Drosophila melanogaster: one gene and its partner. The protein of the gene in region 1 interacts with the protein of each later gene in a pairwise test. Each region holds a gene or a part of one and is shown in the gene's direction. Other genes may lie near its edges. The genes, in order: GATAd and nod.

Evidence for each region.
Region 2: the proteins of GATAd (region 1) and nod interact in a two-hybrid assay, tested with the Drosophila melanogaster proteins (one large-scale study listed by BioGRID).

Annotation. Positions count from the first base shown.
Region 1 is NT_033779.5:10,331,151-10,341,975, forward strand, and holds GATAd (GATAd), read left to right. Parts: upstream 1-2,763; 5' UTR 2,764-2,924; coding exon 2,925-3,662; intron 3,663-4,630; coding exon 4,631-4,774; intron 4,775-4,871; coding exon 4,872-5,733; intron 5,734-5,794; coding exon 5,795-5,922; intron 5,923-5,990; coding exon 5,991-6,143; intron 6,144-6,217; coding exon 6,218-6,446; intron 6,447-6,868; coding exon 6,869-6,966; intron 6,967-7,081; coding exon 7,082-7,258; 3' UTR 7,259-8,035; downstream 8,036-10,825. Other genes in the region: Cox10 (cytochrome c oxidase assembly factor 10), read left to right, coding at 460-531, 597-780, 838-1,524, 1,589-1,821; SamDC (S-adenosylmethionine decarboxylase), read left to right, coding at 8,365-8,468, 9,002-9,088, 9,161-9,329, 9,383-9,661, 9,717-9,809, 9,858-10,013, 10,076-10,231; CG31715 (uncharacterized protein), read left to right, coding at 10,532-10,615, 10,672-10,782.
Region 2 is NC_004354.4:11,578,950-11,589,405, forward strand, and holds nod (no distributive disjunction), read left to right. Parts: upstream 1-1,822; 5' UTR 1,823-1,974; coding exon 1,975-2,091; intron 2,092-2,155; coding exon 2,156-2,350; intron 2,351-2,420; coding exon 2,421-2,955; intron 2,956-3,007; exon of another isoform or gene 3,008-3,089; coding exon 3,090-3,235; exon of another isoform or gene 3,236-3,244; coding exon of another isoform or gene 3,245-3,524; intron 3,525-3,583; coding exon of another isoform or gene 3,584-5,211; exon of another isoform or gene 5,212-5,226; intron 5,227-5,356; coding exon 5,357-5,547; intron 5,548-5,610; coding exon 5,611-6,321; intron 6,322-6,399; coding exon 6,400-6,505; 3' UTR 6,506-6,801; downstream 6,802-10,456. Other genes in the region: pkm (pinkman), read right to left, coding at 3,245-3,524, 3,584-5,211. UniProt on the Drosophila melanogaster protein: Required for the distributive chromosome segregation of non-exchange chromosomes during meiosis. May be a microtubule motor required to hold distributively 'paired' chromosomes at the metaphase plate until anaphase.

The DNA of each region.
Region 1 (10,825 bases):
CGCATGCGCAAATCTTGGTATATAGTGTTGTTAACAATACTAAATATTATTACAAATAATTTAATTTACTAAGGAACAAAAAATTTATTAATTATTTATTATTTTTTTATATGCAAAAACTGAGAAAACAACTTAAAAATCGAAACTGAAAATGTCTCTGAGTTTTACCATGGCACAAAATTTTCTTTTAATGTAAACTTATATTATTATTATTTAAGGAATAGGCTTAAAACTTTTTGCTATGTTTTTTTCAAAGTTCTTAAAAAATCCCAATCCCAACAATTTATGAATACCTCTGATTAAATTTTTTGCACTCAGTATTTTTCTCATTTTGAGATATGGTAACACTTAAGCACAATGTGATTTAAAAAACCATAACATTGTATATAAAAGTAATAGAAATCCAAACACAACTAGAAAAATGAAATAACCGTAGACCTAACTAATAAGTGAATAATAATGATATTATTCAAAGGAATTCGGCGGGTGCAATCCCAGCTAAGAACGCCGGTTGATTTGGTGCTCATTCGGGTGAGGTTCTTGGCCATTACGCAACAAACCACTATAACAAACTATAACTTTCCAATAATTTTCAGTACTCCACTGCAGCAACGATAGCTTCCCAAGATGACAAAGGTGTCACTACAGCGTCGCCAGTATCCCAGGCGGGAAAGGTCCAGCATTTACCCGATAGTCAAATTACCTGGATGCCTAGTCCGTACACCATGCCCGGAAAAACTCTTAGCCAGTACAAGAAGCTATCCAAGTTCCGGCTGACATGTAAGCGAGATGGTTAAACATTGGCCAAGCATCGACCATAGTTGTCTTTCGTTGCAGCGCTGGTGGTCATTACAACGATGGGCGGCTATGCCATGGCGCCAGCTGCTTTCGATCCCACAACGTTTGCGATGTGCACCCTGGGCACAGGACTCGTTTCGGCTGCGGCGAATGCCATTAATCAGTATCACGAAGTTCCTTTCGATTCGCAGATGTCGAGGACAAAGAACCGGGTGCTCGTCACGGGGCAAATGACACCACTGCATGCAGTTACCTTCGCCGCGGTGTCGGCAACTGCCGGCTTAAGTATGCTGTATTTCGGAGTAAATGGATTGACGGCGGCGCTGGGAGCGGGTAACCTGTTCCTCTACACCACGATATACACACCGATGAAGCGTATCAGCATAGTCAATACCTGGGTGGGATCGATAGTGGGCGCCATTCCTCCGCTGATGGGATGGGCTGGTTGTGCAGCCACCCTGGACGCCGGCGCCATGATCCTAGCCGGAGTGCTGTACGCGTGGCAGTTCCCGCACTTCAACGCTCTGTCGTGGAACCTCCGGCCGGATTATTCACGTGCCGGCTACCGAATGATGGCCGTTACCAATCCGGGTCTTTGTCGCCGCACTGCGCTGCGATATTCGGTGGCTATTGTCGGACTTTCAGCCATGGCACCCGTACTGGACGTCACGAACTACTGGTTTGCCTTGGAAACACTACCTCTGAACGCGTACTTCGCCTACCTTGGTAAATATACTCATTAACCATGGAATCCTATATGTTATGTCTAATACGTTCTGTTTGCTTGCAGCGTACAAGTTTCATGAAAAGTCAGATAGTGGGAGCTCGCGGAAGCTGTTCCGATTTTCACTGATACACCTGCCCGCCCTGATGCTGCTATTTCTGACCAATAAGAAGGAATGGTATTTCAGCAAACCCGCCGGTGAGGAGAACAAAAAGGAGTCCACGTACAGTGCGATAAAGCATTCTGCTAGCAGTCTTGGTAATGTCCTGCCCGTCGCCGTAGCCGAAGGACCCAGATAGAAATATTAACATTAATTTGATAAAATGTTAAGTATCGTGTGAAATTTAAATATACTTAGTGTTCTGCAACTTGTAAAAACAGTCATTTAATATTAAGGAAACACGTACCCCTGTGCGGCAAATATATGTTGCGCCTAATAAATGACACGACATCCTTGAAAAATATGCGGTGTAACCAATCCGGCGCTGAATACAAATAAATTTAAAATATACAATTTGGCATGGAATCTTAAGCCGTACAGTAATTTAAATTGCAAGATTCTAAGTATGACCTTATTATATTGTTCTTTGAGCACTTGTTTCAAAAAAAGCACGGAAACGGTAAAAATTGTTAGTGGAAGTAATCCCGTTTCCCGTTGTTTCATCGGTTGTTGAAAATAAGGAATTTAAATCTATTTTATTTTGATAAATTGTAGCAATCGAATCGAACGTATTATTTAAGGCATTGTAAGGCATCTCTTCTTCAGATTCCAGAGTTTATTCCTTTGGAGGGTTTTTTTTCCAAGATTAAAAAACGACATGCGCATTTCCTAGGGATAAGTATTCTAGCTATTTTAGGAACTATATTCCGCAATTGAAATAATTTTAATAATAATAGTAAAATCCGTCAGATAAATAGTCAAAAATTTCTAGCTAAAAATGAGTATAGCTGTACGTTATCGATAACAGAAATACCAAAAAGTTGCCCCTATTTCAGTATATTTCACTGGTTCCTCTGCTGTATGCGTTGGTCTTACAAATGAAAAGAACAATATTTTGTATTGTGTTGCAATAGCCTTGATGTTTTATCACAGAAGCACATTAGCATAATCACTGATTTATCGCGATGCCGAGATGAATCATGCAGCTAACGCGACTATCGCTGGAGCCCTCGTTTGGTAATTTGAACGGGAAACTAGATCAAATGAGCGAAAAATCTGTGGCGAACCACTGGAGTGAATTATTTTTAGTGAGCTGAACGTGGATTGTGACAATGAAAAATTGAGGAATAGTGTTTACATTCATTTTATAATTTATTTTACCAGTTATCTTTTTTATCGCGATAAAGGAGAGGCGTATGAAAGTTTCTTTACACAGTGCAAAACGAATATAAATTTCTAATTATGAATAATGTACCACATAAGTTTCGTCAAGTTTGTCGATTGTGCCTCACATTGGTTAACGAGTGCGATGTTGCAGTACTACAGATTTACGATAATTCGTCGCATAATAATAGTGCCCCAGACAGAATATCGGCCGATTTTCGTGGCGTCGCGAATCGTGCCAACTGCTTTTGCAGCGCTTTAAGCCCCAATCCGTGCAGTTGCATCGTTGATAACCCGCTATCAGCCAACAAAAATGAACGGCGCAACCAGGGAACACCCGTACCCGTGCCCATACCCATACCCGTTTCCGTGCCTGTGCCCGTTCCAAGCCAGCAGATCCAATCGCAAACCCTTCACCATCACCAAAACCAAACTAAAATCCATTACACGCCAAGTGTGCCTTCTGCTGCGGACGCAAAGTCGAGTGAGCGCGAACGCCAATGCCAATTGGAGTCGGACATCGCCGAGAGATCAACAGTATTCAAAAGTCAGTCATCGTCGGATCACGAACATATAGAATATAGCGGGGAGACGCCATCCCCCTCCGCATCGCTATCCCAATCCCAAACAAAATCGGAGCCAATGCGCGAGGAGGAGGAACATCAGCATAATCATAATCAGCAGAGCGGACGCGAAGAGACAAGTGTGAATACAACAAATATAAGCGGAACCGATAACTACGGCAAAGAGCACGGTCGGGATGATTCATCATCACCACATCTTACATTTCAGATATTCAACTGTCTCTCTATTAAGGTAAGCAGATTTCCATCCAACACATTTGCAAAGAAACGAATTTACATTAATTACGCACATACACAAGCATGCTCTTACCTGTGTGTGAGTTGGATATATCGCGTATATGTACACGATAATGCCCGCACACACGCGCACTTTTGCGAGTGCTTGCCGTGCGCTGGTGTGTGTTATCTATGTGATTACGACACCACACGTCAAAATAATAGGAAATGATTGGGCCGCTTTTATCCCATGGCCTATTAACAATCGGTATCAATTGTTTGGTATTTTTTCGATGAACCATTGCAAGGCATTGGCCCAGGCCCACGCACACCACGCCACACTCGTACATCAGTGTCCAGCGCACGAATGTAAATATTGCTATGTACATACGTGTGTGTATATGCACGCATGGATGTATGTTAGAGACCTACATACATTAATCCACCAAAGAGATAACATTCGTTTCGATTGTTTAAGTGCGGATATACCGACGTACATACACCTTATATGGCCCCAATGTGTTTTTTTTACATACTTCGAGTACTTTCATTTGTTATTATGTATTTATTTATTTATTGATTTGATAATTTGTGCTCTTAATGCATTTCATGAGCTTTAGTGTTTATTTCCGTAGATGAACATATGTTATTTTTTTTTTTTTTTATCATTTTATAGGGTTGTTTTTAATTTTTTTCAATTAAAATAATTTGTTTCATGAGATTTACAGAGATATAAATTGTATACTAAAGTTTTAATACATGTATAATGATAAAATTGATTAAAATACAAATAGTTTTAGCTTGATTTATACAATATCAAAGCATCCAATGTTCTTCTTTTAGTTCCAAGTATAACCAGTCATCAATCCCATCGATCGATTTTGTTACCGCCTTGCTCCTTAGTCATTGCATCATTCTCATTGCTAGCCAACTGAATATTAAAAGTGGATACTGCAGTATAAGATACATTCATATTTCTTTCAGGCACTGCCCAACGATGGATTACCCAACGTGGTTTGTGGCGACTGCAGACAAAAATTGGATTCCTTCGAAAAATTTCGAACCATGGCGCACAATTCACAAATAGCTTTGAAAGAATTTTTAAATATATCCAAAAATCTGAGACCAGTAAGTATAAGTATTGATTGGAAGGAACTTAGTTAGTCATACGCCATTAAATTAAATGACCATTTGAATTACTACTCACGAACTATGTTTTTTGCAGGACCCAAATGATTTGGAAACCAAGCTCGATGCAATTTTAAAGGCTTCATCGGAGGCTATAGCGGCAAAGGCTCTGACGGAGTTAAGCACGTTCTCTAAAGTTAAGTACGACCACAGTAAATTGGATTCCAGCATCCAACCCGGCTTGGATCGGAAAATCGAGATTAGCAATCAAGAAATGCCAGCACATAGCTTATATCCAAGTTTATTCAAATCAATTACTATGAAAAGCGATCAAAAGAGCAAAGCAATGTCTGGATCCTCACACAGCCAGTTTGATTCAAAACTGCAAAAGGACTCGGATATCGAGAAATATGAAAATCTGCAGCAGCAGCTTGAAACGGCTGCCGTTTTAATGGATATAAGCAAAAAAATAGTAATTTCCCCTCCATGTTCGAATCCGCAATCTCCGTGTTTTTCTGCAGCTGTAGATACAAGTATTAAAAGTTCTGTGATAAAATCAAAACGTCCATCAAACCAAAATGAAATTCAGGACGGTGTTGAAATTGACCTATCCGTCAAAAAACAAAAGAACGATTACTCTAATCAACGGAACGCGGCCCCAATACACCATTTTTGCCAAACTCCAATGCTTGATATTCAGTCACACTTAAGAAGTGAAGAGGATTTTCAAAACTACAGTATTACCATTAACCAAGTTGGTGGGTCCGACTTCAAATCAAAAGCACCCAAGGCGAGTACCGGCTCCTTGCTAGACTCTGGCGATAGTTCCGACTCTCACAAACTAGAGATGGACATCACGTCCTCCATAAATGATAGAAAGACTCCGGATAGCTTAAGCTCGGATCACGCCACAGATGCGGCAACTACTCAACTCTGGCAGGCACTGGCCAGATCAGCCGGTACGTATTATTATCCGACCACTGACCGCATATTATTATGAAAAACATTTCAATTTGATAGCTAAAAGCAAGGAGGACAATCCGGCATCACAAATATTTCGAAATATGATGAGCCAGCCTTTCGCGTTTCCGGTTCCGTCGACAGTATCATTTACAAAAGTACCTGAAGAACCCATAGCACTATTAAAGGTAAACTATTTCTTCTATTTCAAGTAGCAAGTAGCTATAGGAAAGTCTAATACTCTTTGTGTTCTTAGGATCTATCAGAGGCTCAATCCAGCAAATCAAAACCATGTAGAAGAAAACAAAGTTTTCCTACCAAAACTGATTGCATCGATGTAGTTAATGAGAATGTGACTGATACTTATACCACTTCAGAAGCAACTCCGGATGATAAGAAAGATAAAAGGGTACGTTATCACAGTCATCCTCATTGAATCACATACTAATTATATTATTTCTTGGTTCAATTCCGATTTCGTAGAACATAAACCTTTTTAATGCCATACCTGGTGCTCAAAAAGATATGTCATGTTCGAATTGTGGCACCCTCACCACAACAATTTGGCGGCGAAGTGTTCGAGGAGAGATGGTGTGCAACGCCTGCGGATTGTACTTCAAGCTGCATGGGGTCAACAGGCCGCATTCAATGAGACGCGATACCATACACACCAGACGCAGGCGTCCTAAAGAATTGGAGCGATCTAAAAAGAGTGAGTGAGAGTTCGAAATTTATCTACATTTTTCGATTCGAAAGCTAGCCCTCTGTGACCCATAGATTTATTTATTTTTTGAGTATCTAACAATGAAAACAATTTGTTTACTTAATGTTTTTTTTTTATGTTCCCTGACCATTTTATTGTTGGTAATTAAATGTAACTTGCCAAAACAATTTATTTTTCTGTTAATATGTTCATTAAGCTATTGATTTAGCAATCGGAATATTAACCGCGTACCCACCCAAAATATTTTCTTGCTTGTCCAATCATATTTTATGATGTCATTGTTGTAGATGGCATTGGACGTGCCTGTTAAGTCGTTAAACTGCTCAAGTTTGAATAAATATCTACGAGCCTTTCATTATTAATTGTATGATTTATTTGCGAAAATTATAAATATACACTTTCTTTTGCAGAACACAAACAAATGTCATCATGTTCTTCAATAGAAACAACGAAGCAAGATTTCTTGACGGCTAGGGAATCTCTAGCCATTTCGGGCCTTGTTTTAAATGTATGTATCTGCACTATTACTTTAAAGTCTTGATAAGTAGATTGATCAACTAGATCTATTTGCATAAGATTTAAATACACTTAAACTTCAATTTTCTAATATGTTTTTATTTTAGAAATTCAAAAAGGAAATTGATGATACCGAGACCCCAGCCGCAGCAGCACTTAAAGATATTTTATCAAGGCGTAAGAAGTCAAATTCTTTGCCGGCGTTTAATGATACCTGTGAAAGTGCGGATCTATCCGCACCGCTTAACCTTGTTTCCAGTGAAAATAATGCAAAGTTAACATAAAACGCCAAATATATTCCCCCTACTCACTTTTCGAAAAAAAAAGAAGAACCTTTAACCCACATTTTGTTTATTTATGAGGTCGCGTAAGAGAGAAAAACAAATGGTATAGGATTAAAAATACGTATAGATTATTAATAAAATTTTCATTCTTTAAAACTAAATTTTATTCATTTGTATCTTTAAAAACTAATACCAAAATACTTATTAGTGTAAAAGAGGTATGAAAATTGAACCAGTATGTCAAAACTTTTAAATAATATCACACTAAATATAGACCTTAAGAGAGGACATCAATACTTAATGCAATTAAATTAAAAATAAAATTTATTATATTTATATTTATTAAAACCATTTTACAGTATTTTTAATTTTTTAATAACACAAATCGCTTCTATTAAAATGAAAAGTTCAGTTTTAACAATGATTTTTCAGCTGTCTTTGCAATTGAACAACTTCTAAAGCTAAAAAATAATAATGTTTTAAATCTCTTGCCTATACGAAAATCATGTGATAATATAATAATCTCCACAAAACATTTTAATAGTAAAACTATGCAAAAAGCAATAATCACGCAATGCAAACTTTTCAAGGAAATATTTAAATTATATACAATTATAAGAAACTAAAAAACTTAATGCTGTTTTCGAATCTACATAAATTGTCTAAATAAAATAAGGACTTCATAATAGGCTAAGATACAAAAAATATTACTCATTTATTTTTTCAAATAAAATACTCTATACAATTTTTAACAATCACAATAAAACTGGTTAATGTAAAATGAAAATCCAAATTCTACTGTTTTTTTTTAACTATTTGCCTGGGGTATGGGATAAGCAACCGAAAAATCTGTTAAACTAATGATGAGAATTTGAAAAAATATATATTAAAGATATTTAAGTATCTTAATTCGAATAGAAAGGGACTTACATTTTTACCGCCGACTGTTCAATGAGAAATGCTGTAAGTGGAAACATGCTGTTAGACTCCCGAATTATCGATGTAGTACAACAAGCACTCGCATCGATAGTCCCATCGTTTACTTTACATCACCAGGCGTTGTTTTGGTATCAGATCAGATCCATTTGTTATTGCCAGCCAGCAGCATGTTGGAGAACGGTTCGCACTTCTTCGAGGGCGTTGAGAAACTCCTTGAGATTTGGTTTGAGGAGAGCTCCAACGGTGACGATGATCTGCGTAACATCAGCAGGTGAGTCCCTCAACAAGTGCGGAACCCAAACAGCCGACATGTCCTTTGTGCACAAGTGCATGCACAGTTGCGGGCAAAAGTATACGTACATATGCGCCGTTCATTTTCGTCCTGAAAAGAAATGAAATGTATTTCTACACTGATAATTATCTTTTAAACATAACATAGTCCCATTGGAATAGGTTACACATTGGTTTTTAGGCTTATCAGATGCGGCACACGTGTACCTACCCAAATTAAATTGAAGTTTTTATTTATGATTCTCAAGATATACAAATTTGATTTGAAATTTCAAGAAATTAGTTATTAAAGGGAATTTCTTTTTAAACTGGCAGCCTGTAGAACTTTGTAAATTCACTTAGAATTAAGCTTTCAAAAATCGGTCTTAACCCTTGGCCTTGTTTGATAACGAGTTTTAATCAATCCCATTAATCCAATCCTCATTATCTCAAAATAAATTTTGGTCGAGGCATTGTGTACATGTTTATTCAAATAGCCTTGAACTTTTAATGAATGTAAATGATATTTTTCAGATCTGATTGGGAAAACGTGCTTAGCAATGTCAACTGTCAAATAATAAGCACATCCAAAAACGACATTATTGATGCTTTTGTGTTAAGGTATGCGAATATATAAAACTAAACTTAATAAAATATTATTAATTATTTTAAATTTGTATTCGGTGCGAGCAGTGAGAGCAGTATGTTTGTTTCAAAGCGACGATGGATCCTTAAAACTTGTGGAACGACTACTCCATTGAAATGCCTGGGTCAGTTGCTTAAGCTGGCTGAGGCCAATGGATACAATGTGGTCGCAGACTTGTTCTACTCGCGAAAAAATTTCACTAGACCGGAGGCGCAGGTGGGCAAAAAAATTAATTGCATTTCAAATGATTTTATATCATATATATTCAGATAACTCCCCATCAAGGCTTTACGGAGGAAGTTACGTATCTGGACTCAATTTTTCCCAACGGAAGATCCTATTGTCTGGGCTCCATGAACCTGGAGTGTTGGTACCTCTACACTTTTAGTCGTTCTGATATCAAAATTACGCCCCAACTTATATCGGATGAGAAAAACGTTGACTCCGATCCAGATCAAACTATTGAAATATTAATGCAAGATCTAGATCCCGAAACCATGTCAATCTTCTATAAAAACAAGTTTAATGATGCTAATGGCGCTACTGTGGTATGAGGATATATTTTAAATGATTAAAACCAATACATATAGATTGTGATTTCAGAAATCTGGTATCGATACCATATTGCCGACTATGCACATTGATGACTTTTTGTTCGATCCTTGCGGCTACTCCATGAATGGAATCAACGATAAGGTAACATAGAAAAATTTTACAAGAACTATTGACATAAATTCTTTATAGGGGGAGTACATGACAATTCATATTACTCCGGAGAATCAATTTTCGTATGTGAGCTTCGAAACAAATGTGGCTCTAAGTAACTATCGTAAACTTATCAATCAAGTAATCAATACTTTCAAGCCGGGAAAGTTTATTGTAACCATCTTTGCCAATAAGGTAAGCTGTTGCTCCACTTTTTGTATAATTATTTAAAATAATTTTCGAATATTGTGGATCAGTGCTCGTTGGCCTACGAAACTATGAAGGAACTGGAAGTGGAGTACTCACAGGGATCGCACTGGAAACGAACCGACATGCAATGTTGCAACTTTCCATCTTACAATCTTCTGTTTGCACAATATTCCCACAGTGAGAAAACTGGTGATAATTTATAAAATTCCAAAGCCAACAGCAATTGTGATTGTTTTGCGTATGTCTAACAAAATTTATTTTTCGTTCGTTATTAATTATTCAAAATAAATGTCGAATAAATAAAATAATAAATACTACTACTACTAAATAACGTACAATTACTTTTTAAATAGACTGTTAATATAAAATACTAAAATATACCAACACCCTGGATAATTCGCAAATTCCAAATGTAGCAAATAATTATCGGATCTGAACAAGTGTCACAGGCAAAGTTCCATCCCTAGCAGTATTTGACAAGTCGGCCCAAAAGAAAAATAAAAATGAGTGCGATTTCTAATGAAGACATTATTTGGACCATAAAGAACGGAGAGTTCGATGCTGTGCAAGACGCTTTTCAGAATGATGTGCGCTGCTAATACTCTAAATAATTTTGGAATTAATTAATTCTATTTGTATACAGGCACAAAAGGTGAATGAGGAAATCAAGGGCCGTTTTCCAGTACACTATGCAGCAGATTTTGGACAACTGAATGTCCTGGAGTTTCTTATAAGCTTAGGAGCAGACATAAATGTAAGTAGCTCACAATGCCAAATTACTCGGCCATGAATCATTA
Region 2 (10,456 bases), on another chromosome or scaffold:
TCCCGCTATTTTCGCATTCATGCAGTTCCCACTATATTTTATTCGGTATTTTCGCAGTCATTAGTGTGGCCAAAACTCGAAAATATCAAGGGCTAGAGCAGCTAGATGTTGCGGCATTCGCGGCCTGGTCACACTAAGCTAGGGCTACTTTTTATATCATAAGTCGAGCGTTTAGGTAAGCGAAACAAAAAGAGCTTTAGTTAGAGGTATTAGTTTGGTTGCTATTATTTCTAAATTGAAAACTTCACTTCCTTTGATCCAAAAGACACTGAAAAGACACGTTTGCAGTTGAGTTCATTATTTTCTGGTATACATACACACTGATTACTCATTCAATTGGCATTTTGCTCTTGTTTTTCTCCGATTGCCTTGCACTCGCATAAATTTAACACAAAAAAGAAGTTCGGGGTGTTTAGAATCCATCCACTTGGTACAGTTCCCATCGAGCTGGTGAGTACTCCGCGCAGTGCAACGTATACACACTTGAACTCGAATTCTGGCAGCAAAATGGTGGTGACCTATTAATAACACCCGCTCAATTTTCCCTCGCTTTTCCATTCAGTCTCCAACTAGCTGCAAGTGAGTACGTTACTTCCGAGATCCTCTCCAAAAAAATAAAACATAAATCCAAATCCAACCAGTGTAGCATCCATTGAATTAGATTTTCCGACACGTTGCGCCTATGACAATCCTAATTCCATCCTCTTCTCTTTCGTTTAGGTAGCTCGGATGGCCATCGAAAGGGTAAATTGGTGTTACATATAGCTTTAGAGATCGTTTCGAATCACATTGATAATCGTTCGAAACGTTCTCCGAAGCAAAATCAAGCAAGAGTAACGATTTCCGCATAGTCGAAAATGTTTAAGTTGAATTGTCTTACGGACAGTGAGATGAGTACGACTATTTGGAAATCACAAACGAATTGTTTTCATGGTTGACGCGCTTGTCAAGCTACAAAACAAAATGAATGATATACAATATACAATATACAATATGCAATACAATACAATACAAGACAAAAAAATGTGTCTTGGAACGCAACATTGTACAAGTCGCAATGCAAACTGAAGTCTTAAAAGACGTGTAAAATGTTGCAAATTAAGCAAATATATATGCATATATGGGTAACGTTTTACGCGCCTTAACCAGTCAAAATACAAAATAAATTGGTAAATTTCATATAACTAGTGAAATGTTATACGAAACTTAACAATTGCCAAATAATACAGATCGATTTAGAGCGAGATGACAATAGAGAGGCGATCTCTCTCGTATACGAGTCTTGAAAAGAAAGAGAAGGCGAACGGTGCTGGCTTAGAGAGAGATGGCAATACTAATTAACTGCAAATACATTTCCGCCATTTTGTTGGCGCTAAAAGTAACGGAAATTCGAGATGCTTTTAGGGCTGCCACCTTGGTTTCCAGGGTGACCAGAACTGACACTTAAATTACATATGACAAATAAAGACTTATCTGCTATTGCAAATACTGTTTTAAGCGGCTTTTTTTCCATCAAATTTGTTAGTTCTTGTTCCTGTTTTAATAAGTTGGCAATACCGATCCTCCGCACTTGCTATGTGTGTCTATAATCATATAGGGTGGCAGCGCAGGCCAGGGCTGGCAAGGGTGGCGCATTAACAGAGTTCTGTAATGTTATGCTCATGAACAATAGCGATGCCATTGTGCACGATATGTTTGCAAAACATGTTAAGTTGTGTGCAGTATTTTAGCAAGATTAAGTTAAATTAGAGATGGCCCCTACAACATACACATACCAAAAGCGAGGTCACAAGCCACAATGTAAATATCCATGACACCAACCCAGATCGTTCTTAGTGTTATTACCGCGACGGTCACACTGCCAAAATCAATTTGAAATGCAAAGGTCGCTTGGCTTCGTCAAAAAAGTAAAATAATTACGGTGAATGCAAGCCAATTGTGCATTATTCAAACAACTTCAATTCTTCAATCTGCATGGAGGGCGCCAAATTAAGCGCAGTTCGGATTGCGGTCCGCGAGGCGCCGTACCGCCAGTTCTTGGGGCGTCGGGAGCCCAGCGTCGTCCAGTTTCCGCCATGGAGCGACGGAAAGGTATGTGCCCCACCATTGGCCATGTGCATGTCTAACGGTATATGACCGCCATCTCGCTTTGTAGTCGTTAATAGTGGATCAGAATGAATTCCACTTCGATCACGCCTTTCCCGCGACCATCAGCCAGGATGAGATGTACCAGGCGCTGATCTTGCCGCTGGTGGACAAGCTGCTCGAGGGATTCCAGTGCACTGCACTCGCCTACGGCCAGACGGGAACGGGCAAGAGCTACTCAATGGGCATGACACCTCCGGGAGAGGTGGGTTTTTCGTTTAGCCATCAGTGGCTTAAATCTTTCCCACTGATCTATCGCTTCTATTCCTTTACAGATACTGCCCGAGCACCTGGGTATTCTGCCTCGCGCCCTGGGCGACATTTTTGAGCGCGTGACCGCCCGGCAGGAGAACAACAAGGATGCGATTCAGGTGTACGCCTCCTTCATAGAGATCTACAATGAGAAACCCTTCGATCTGCTGGGCTCCACGCCACATATGCCCATGGTGGCGGCGCGTTGCCAGCGATGCACCTGCCTTCCTTTGCACAGCCAGGCGGATCTGCATCACATCTTGGAGCTAGGCACTCGCAATCGACGCGTTCGTCCCACCAATATGAATTCCAATAGTTCGCGATCCCATGCCATAGTCACCATTCACGTGAAGAGTAAAACCCATCACTCGCGGATGAATATTGTGGATCTGGCCGGTTCAGAAGGCGTGCGGCGAACTGGGCACGAGGGCGTGGCCAGGCAGGAGGGCGTCAACATCAATCTGGGCCTGTTGAGCATCAACAAGGTGGTGATGTCCATGGCGGCGGGCCACACAGTGATACCATACCGCGACAGCGTCCTTACCACAGTTCTGCAGGGTAAGTGCTACGTTTTGGATCGTCTCATGCTCAATTAGTTAGTGGACCATTTGGGTTCAAGCCTTTATTGATTAGCGACTTAGTGACTACTATAAATATTGACTGCAACTTCTTGCCGTTTTCATTCTTTGCAGCCTCGCTAACCGCGCAGTCGTATCTGACCTTTCTGGCCTGCATCAGTCCGCATCAATGCGATCTCAGCGAGACGTTGTCCACCCTGCGTTTTGGCACCAGTGCCAAGAAGCTTCGGCTGAATCCGATGCAAGTGGCGCGCCAGAAGGTGAGCCATCTATATGTAATTAAAGTCCACACAGTCGAGGATCACCTCGCGTATACGCTGTTTAAATGTAGCCTCGTTGCCCGCGCCCAGGAAACCAGCTCCATGGAGATCCGTAGTGGCCCCCGCCTCGATGCGCTCGCTAATTGCCTGAAGGTCGGGCACATCCTGACCCTGCATCGTTACAATGGGTAGAACCATCATGGCGAGAAGCAGGCCCACAGCCGCTTTGGTAGCCACCTGTTCATCGAATGCAGGACGGGGAAAAAGTTGCTCCACCCGCTCGCCTAGTCTGTTGCGAACACAACAATACAATAGTTGAAGCTCTAGGATTCTTATACTTTTACTTACCTAATCAGCTGCAGGCCCAACTCTTCATAGTAATCCTCGAGCATATTTTCGAGGTGTCGCTGCCGGAATCGCCGCGAAGTGCAAGTGAAGAGGAAGTAAGCTAGATCGGTGACCGGCGAGGCATATCGCATCAGTTGCCAGTCGATCAGGCGCACGTCCTCGAGCTCGCCCCGCTCTGTACTCTTGTAGAGAATGTTGTTATTCCAGCAATCGCCGTGGCAAATAACAGCGAAGGGTTCGCAATTGAATCCGCTGACCAAAGGCAGCAGCAGCTCAAAGTACGATCCTCTGGCGAAGTACGCCTCCAGACGAACTCTGTATGCATCATCCGCCGGTGCGAGCAGTGCGGATAGGGCGCTTTCCTTCAGATTCTCGAAGTAGACCCCCAAGGCATGATCATCGCGTCGCTGCTCAAAGATATCCACCAGCTGCTGCAGTTGTTGCATTTTCTCGGGCAACTGCCGTTTCCCGGCCAATGATATAGCATGTAATTTGGCATAGGTGAGCATTACGCGACGCACATGCTCGACGGATAGGTCGAGAAAGCGATTGTGCAGTGAGAAGCCGGCACAAGACAGATCCTCCAGCACGATGCACTCGTTGGGCTCATCCTGGCGAGTTCCGAAACAGAGCGCGTGCTGCCGGAAACGATCATCTCCGATTATCTTCCACTTATCCTGAATTAACGCAGTCAGCGGCAGAAAGACCTCATATGCTGCCGTCTCGCGCAGGAAACATGGTCGTGCAAAGAATTGCTTGCGGCGCACGCGATTCTGTGGCGGCAGTTTAACCACCAGGCTGCGTTTCGAATCGGATGCCGCCTGTAGGCGCCACACCACGCCCAAATAGTTGTCGCCCTTGGCACTCGCCCTTTCCAGACGCAGTTCCGGATTGGCGCCCAGCTCTGGCCACAGCTGGCTGACCAGTTGGCGAAGGAACTGTGTAACCTGCTCGTTGGGCAGATCTTCGTCTGGCTTGGCTGTGTCCTCTTGTTGCTCTACAGGACTCTCCATCCTGTCTGGGTGCTCTCTATTCACCTCCCCATTTCGTTCATCTTCGGTGTCTTCATGTGGATCTGGTTCGGCTTCCTTCTGATCAACTTGCTCTGCTGGAGCTGCTAGGTTGCCAGTGAGCTGAATCTCACTCGCAGAGATTTCTGCTAGTTTTTCCCTGTCCGCATTCTCTGCCAGCTCATCCTTTGATTTCGCCTCAGGCTCATCATCTCCTTCCAACAACTGATCTCCAAATGTTTGATTCAACTGGGGAATTTTTTTATCAAGCTCCTCTATGCCTTTGAGCTCTTGTTTGTCGATCACTTTCGAATCAATCTCTTTGGCTAGTTGTTTTTCAATGTGCTCCACCTCAGCACCTCTCGGTTCCTCCAACTCTGCCACCAATTCCTCCTTTTTCACACGATTATCTTCTAAATCCTGCACTGCTTCGCTGTTATTTGAGTTCTCCTCCTTTGGTTCCTCAACATCAATTCGTTTAGGTGACTTCTGATCGACATCTGGATAACTTTCTGTTGAGTCTGGTGAATTTCCTTGATCGGATGCCACTTCTATCACTTCCTGACTTTGGCGATCTTTCTGCTCCCCCTCCTGCGTCTTCTCACTGGGCTGTTCCATGGCACACTACGCCACCGCCGCGAGTGTGGATCGTTTATATAGAGAAACCAAGCCGTACCGAACCGAACTCATTCCAACCGCACTGACCGCAAATCGAACGATGCAGTTACTCGAGTTTCATCCACCCATCTTGCTCTGATTGCAGCAATCGCTGGCCGCACGGACAACACACGTCTTCCGCCAAGCGCTATGCACCTCGACGGCCATCAAGTCAAACGCAGCCAATCATAATAGCATAGTGGTTCCAAAATCCAAATATAGCACAACCAAGCCGCTGAGCGCCGTGCTCCATCGAACTCGCTCCGAACTTGGCATGACGCCCAAAGCTAAGAAAAGGTGAGTAACACGGAATGGACCAAAAGCGAAGATGATCTAATCCTCCCATATCTTCCTCCATAGGGCTCGCGAGCTATTGGAGCTGGAGGAGACCACGCTGGAGCTCTCGTCTATACACATTCAGGACAGCAGTCTGAGTCTGTTGGGTTTCCATAGCGATAGCGATAAGGATAGGCATTTAATGCCTCCCCCAACAGGGCAAGAGCCAAGGCAAGCCAGCAGCCAGAACTCTACGCTAATGGGCATTGTCGAAGAGACCGAGCCCAAGGAATCGTCAAAGGTGCAACAGTCAATGGTTGCCCCCACGGTGCCCACAACTGTACGCTGCCAGCTGTTCAACACCACCATCAGTCCCATCAGTCTACGGGCATCCAGCTCTCAGCGAGAACTTAGCGGCATCCAGCCAATGGAGGAGACAGTAGTGGCTTCGCCACAGCAGCCATGCCTTCGTCGTTCCGTGCGTCTAGCGAGTAGCATGCGTTCGCAGAACTATGGAGCCATTCCCAAGGTTATGAATTTGCGGCGCAGCACGCGGCTGGCGGGAATCCGGGAACATGCCACCTCCGTTGTTGTGAAAAACGAGACGGATGCGATACCGCACCTTCGAAGTACAGTGCAAAAAAAACGTACGCGAAACGTGAAACCTGCGCCCAAGGCCTGGATGGCCAATAATACAAAATGTTTTCTGGACCTGCTTAACAATGGAAACGTTAAGCAATTGCAGGAGATTCCAGGGATCGGTCCAAAGTCCGCCTTTAGTTTGGCCTTGCACAGGTAAGTTACTTACATAGTTGGCATACCTTTATTTGCGTTTTACCCAATAACCCTTAATCCGTAATCCACATTTTTCAGATCCCGCCTGGGTTGCTTCGAGAATCTTTTTCAAGTCAAATCCCTGCCCATTTGGTCGGGAAATAAATGGGAACGATTTTGTCAAATTAACTGTCTCGACACTTGATACAATTACTAATTAAATAGCATTTTAATTCGAATATAGTATAGTGATTGTTATTTATGTGGCATATACTTTGATTTTACAACTATAGTAGGAGTAAAAAAAGGAGCCGGATATCCTAAAACAAACAGTTATATATGTGTATGTGTAATATTTCTCAAGATGTTTACTTATTTTTTGTTTTCGACTATAATTTATTTGATGATAGCTTAGACTACCTATTAAATAAGCGCTATGTAATCTAATATTTAATTGCATTTTTTGATTTAAAGTAAAATAACTTTTAGGTCAATAACAATAATAATAGGACTTTTACACTTTGACACTTTTTATTCTTGGCATATAATTTTTAGACAATATACATATATATATACATTGATTATTGAAGTCGTCGATCTTCACTCTTCGCACTCACTCAACAGGGGGATTCTATCTACGAATCCATCAGTTTCGGCCGCTTCGATTCCAGTTTAGTTAGCACTCTCTCCTGGTTGATTTGGTATATACATACATACATATTTGATATATATATGTATATAGGTATGTATGATCATACGATTAGCATACGAGATAAGCTGCCAATCCAATCCAAACACATGGCGCTGGAAATCGGCATTCCATACACATTCCTACTCTCTTTTGGCTGGAAATCTTATCCGATTTCCCTTCGCTTCAAACATCAAAATACTCTGTTTGGGTTTCCCGAGCGTTGATTCATTAATCTAGCCATGATATAACAACCAAAATAATATCAAGCTATAGAATATATTTTTTAAAGAAAAAAAATCAGTCTGCGGGCATCCAGTTCTCAGCGAGAACTTAGCGGCATCCAGCTAATGGAGGAGACAGTAGTGGCTTCGCCACAGCAGCCATGCCTTCGTCGTTCCGTACGTCTAGCGGGTAGGATGCGTTCGCAGAACTATAGAGCCATTCCCAAGGTTATGAATTTGCGGCGCAGCACGCGGCTGGCGGGAATCCGGGAACATGCCACCTCCGTTGTTGTGGAAAACGGGACGCGCCTTCAAAGTGCAGTCCAAAAGAAACGCACGCGAAAAGTGAAACCTGCGCCCAAGGCCTGGATGGCCAATAATACTAAATGTTTACTGGGCCATCTTAACAATGGAAACGTTAAGCAATTGCAGGAGATTCCAGGGATCGGTTCAAAGACCGCCTCTATTTTGGCCGTGCACAGGTCAGTTGACATACGTTCATTTGCGTTTTACCCAATAACCCTTAATCCTTAATCCACATTTTTCAGATCCCGCCTGGGTTGCTTCAAGAATCTAATTGAAGTCAAATCCCTGCCCATTTGGTCGGGAAATAAATGGAAACGATTTTCTCAAATTAACTGTCTTGACACTTGATACAATTACTAATTAAATAGCATTTTAATTCGAATATAGTATAGTGATTGTTATTTATGTGGCATATACTTTGATTTTACAACTATAGTAGGAGTAAAAAAAAAGGAGCCGGATATCCTTAAAGAAACAGTTATATATGTGATTTATTTTTTAAATAGGCTTACCTAGGATATATTATATAATATATTAAATTAACAAAACAAGTTGGCATTTTAAATTAAAGCACAAATTGATTGTTATAAAAGTATTAAACAAAAAAAACTAGTCAAAAAAGAAAAACTTTCAAATAAATGACTTATTAAAAGTGACCAAATAAATAATATTCATTAACTTTTTTTTTCAAATTTAACTCCCTTTCAGCGTTGCCAGATTGGGTTGCATGCGGGATTTGATTATTTTTATTCACAAATTCTGGGTAGAGGGCCACTTGTGCTGCTCCGGCAGCTGGTCACACTGTACAGTCGCGCAGTTTGGTTTCTTTGGTGCGAGAAGACGGTTGGTGTTGTTATTTTTTTTTTAGTTCGCTCCGCTGTTTTTAGGTGCTACGCGCTTTATGGCCCGCTCTTAATCTTATCGCAAATCAAATCAAACCGCGGCCAATGAGCACCGTAATTTCACTTTTTGGCTAACGGTAACGGCACTTCCGCTCTCCGAATTCGATATTCAAACAGTCGCATTCCATCGAAAAGCGAAACAAGAAGTGGCCGTAAAAATGACCGTGAAAACAGTGAATCGCCAGCAGAGCCAAACGCCCACCCAGCAACGGCAATTGCATCAGCAGCGGGACGTCGAGAATGGGCTCTATCCCACGATTTCGGACGGAATATGCCACATTATTATCGGATAGAATACAGGAAATGTAGGATTTAGGTAAGGGAATAATAAATTTCTAGTAGTTTTCAAGTCATTTTGGAGAGCACATAGTGGTTAATTCATGTACCATATTAATGCATGGGAAATTGGCGAAAAACAAACACTCAGCCGGCACTTCGCGGCACTCACACCTACACAATCATACGTGCGTGTGAATGAAGTTGCTTGTGCTTGTGGTGGTCTGCCCTGTTGCCGTCTTCTTCTCACCCTCGGTGAAAGTTGAGTTCGATGAATCATCTGAGCATCGATCCGCTATGGCGGCGATCTTCACTCTTCGCACTCACTCAACAGGGGGATTCTATCTACGAATCCATCAGTTTCGGCCGCTTCGATTCTAGTTTAGTTAGCACTCTCTTCTGGTTGATTTGGGCAGATTCATATATATATATGTATATAGGTATGTATGATCATACGATTAGCATACGAGATAAGCTGCCAATCCAATCCAAACACAAGGCGCTGGAAATCGGCATTCCATACACATTCCTACTCTCTTTTGGCTGGAAATCTTATCCGATTTCCCTCGCTTCAAACATCAAAATACTCTGTTTGGGTTTCCCGAGCGTTGATTCATTAATCTAGCCATGATATAACAACCAAAATAATATCAAGCTATAGAATATATTTTTTAAAGAAAAAAAATCAGTCTGCGGGCATCCAGTTCTCAGCGAGAACTTAGCGGCATCCAGCTAATGGAGGAGACAGTAGTGGCTTCGCCACAGCAGCCATGCCTTCGTCGTTCCGTACGTCTAGCGGGTAGGATGCGTTCGCAGAACTATAGAGCCATTCCCAAGGTTATGAATTTGCGGCGCAGCACGCGGCTGGCGGGAATCCGGGAACATGCCACCTCCGTTGTTGTGGAAAACGGGACGCGCCTTCAAAGTGCAGTCCAAAAGAAACGCACGCGAAAAGTGAAACCTGCGCCCAAGGCCTGGATGGCCAATAATACTAAATGTTTACTGGGCCATCTTAACAATGGAAACGTTAAGCAATTGCAGGAGATTCCAGGGATCGGTTCAAAGACCGCCTCTATTTTGGCCGTGCACAGGTCAGTTGACATACGTTCATTTGCGTTTTACCCAATAACCCTTAATCCTTAATCCACATTTTTCAGATCCCGCCTGGGTTGCTTCAAGAATCTAATTGAAGTCAAATCCCTGCCCATTTGGTCGGGAAATAAATGGAAACGATTTTCTCAAATTAACTGTCTTGACACTTGATACAATTACTAATTAAATAGCATTTTAATTCGAATATAGTATAGTGATTGTTATTTATGTGGCATATACTTTGATTTTACAACTATAGTAGGAGTAAAAAAAAAGGAGCCGGATATCCTTAAAGAAACAGTTATATATGTGATTTATTTTTTAAATAGGCTTACCTAGGATATATTATATAATATATTAAATTAACAAAACAAGTTGGCATTTTAAATTAAAGCACAAATTGATTGTTATAAAAGTATTAAACAAAAAAAACTAGTCAAAAAAGAAAAACTTTCAAATAAATGACTTATTAAAAGTGACCAAATAAATAATATTCATTAACTTTTTTTTTCAAATTTAACTCCCTTTCAGCGTTGCCAGATTGGGTTGCATGCGGGATTTGATTATTTTTATTCACAAATTCTGGGTAGAGGGCCACTTGTGCTGCTCCGGCAGCTGGTCACACTGTACAGTCGCGCAGTTTGGTTTCTTTGGTGCGAGAAGACGGT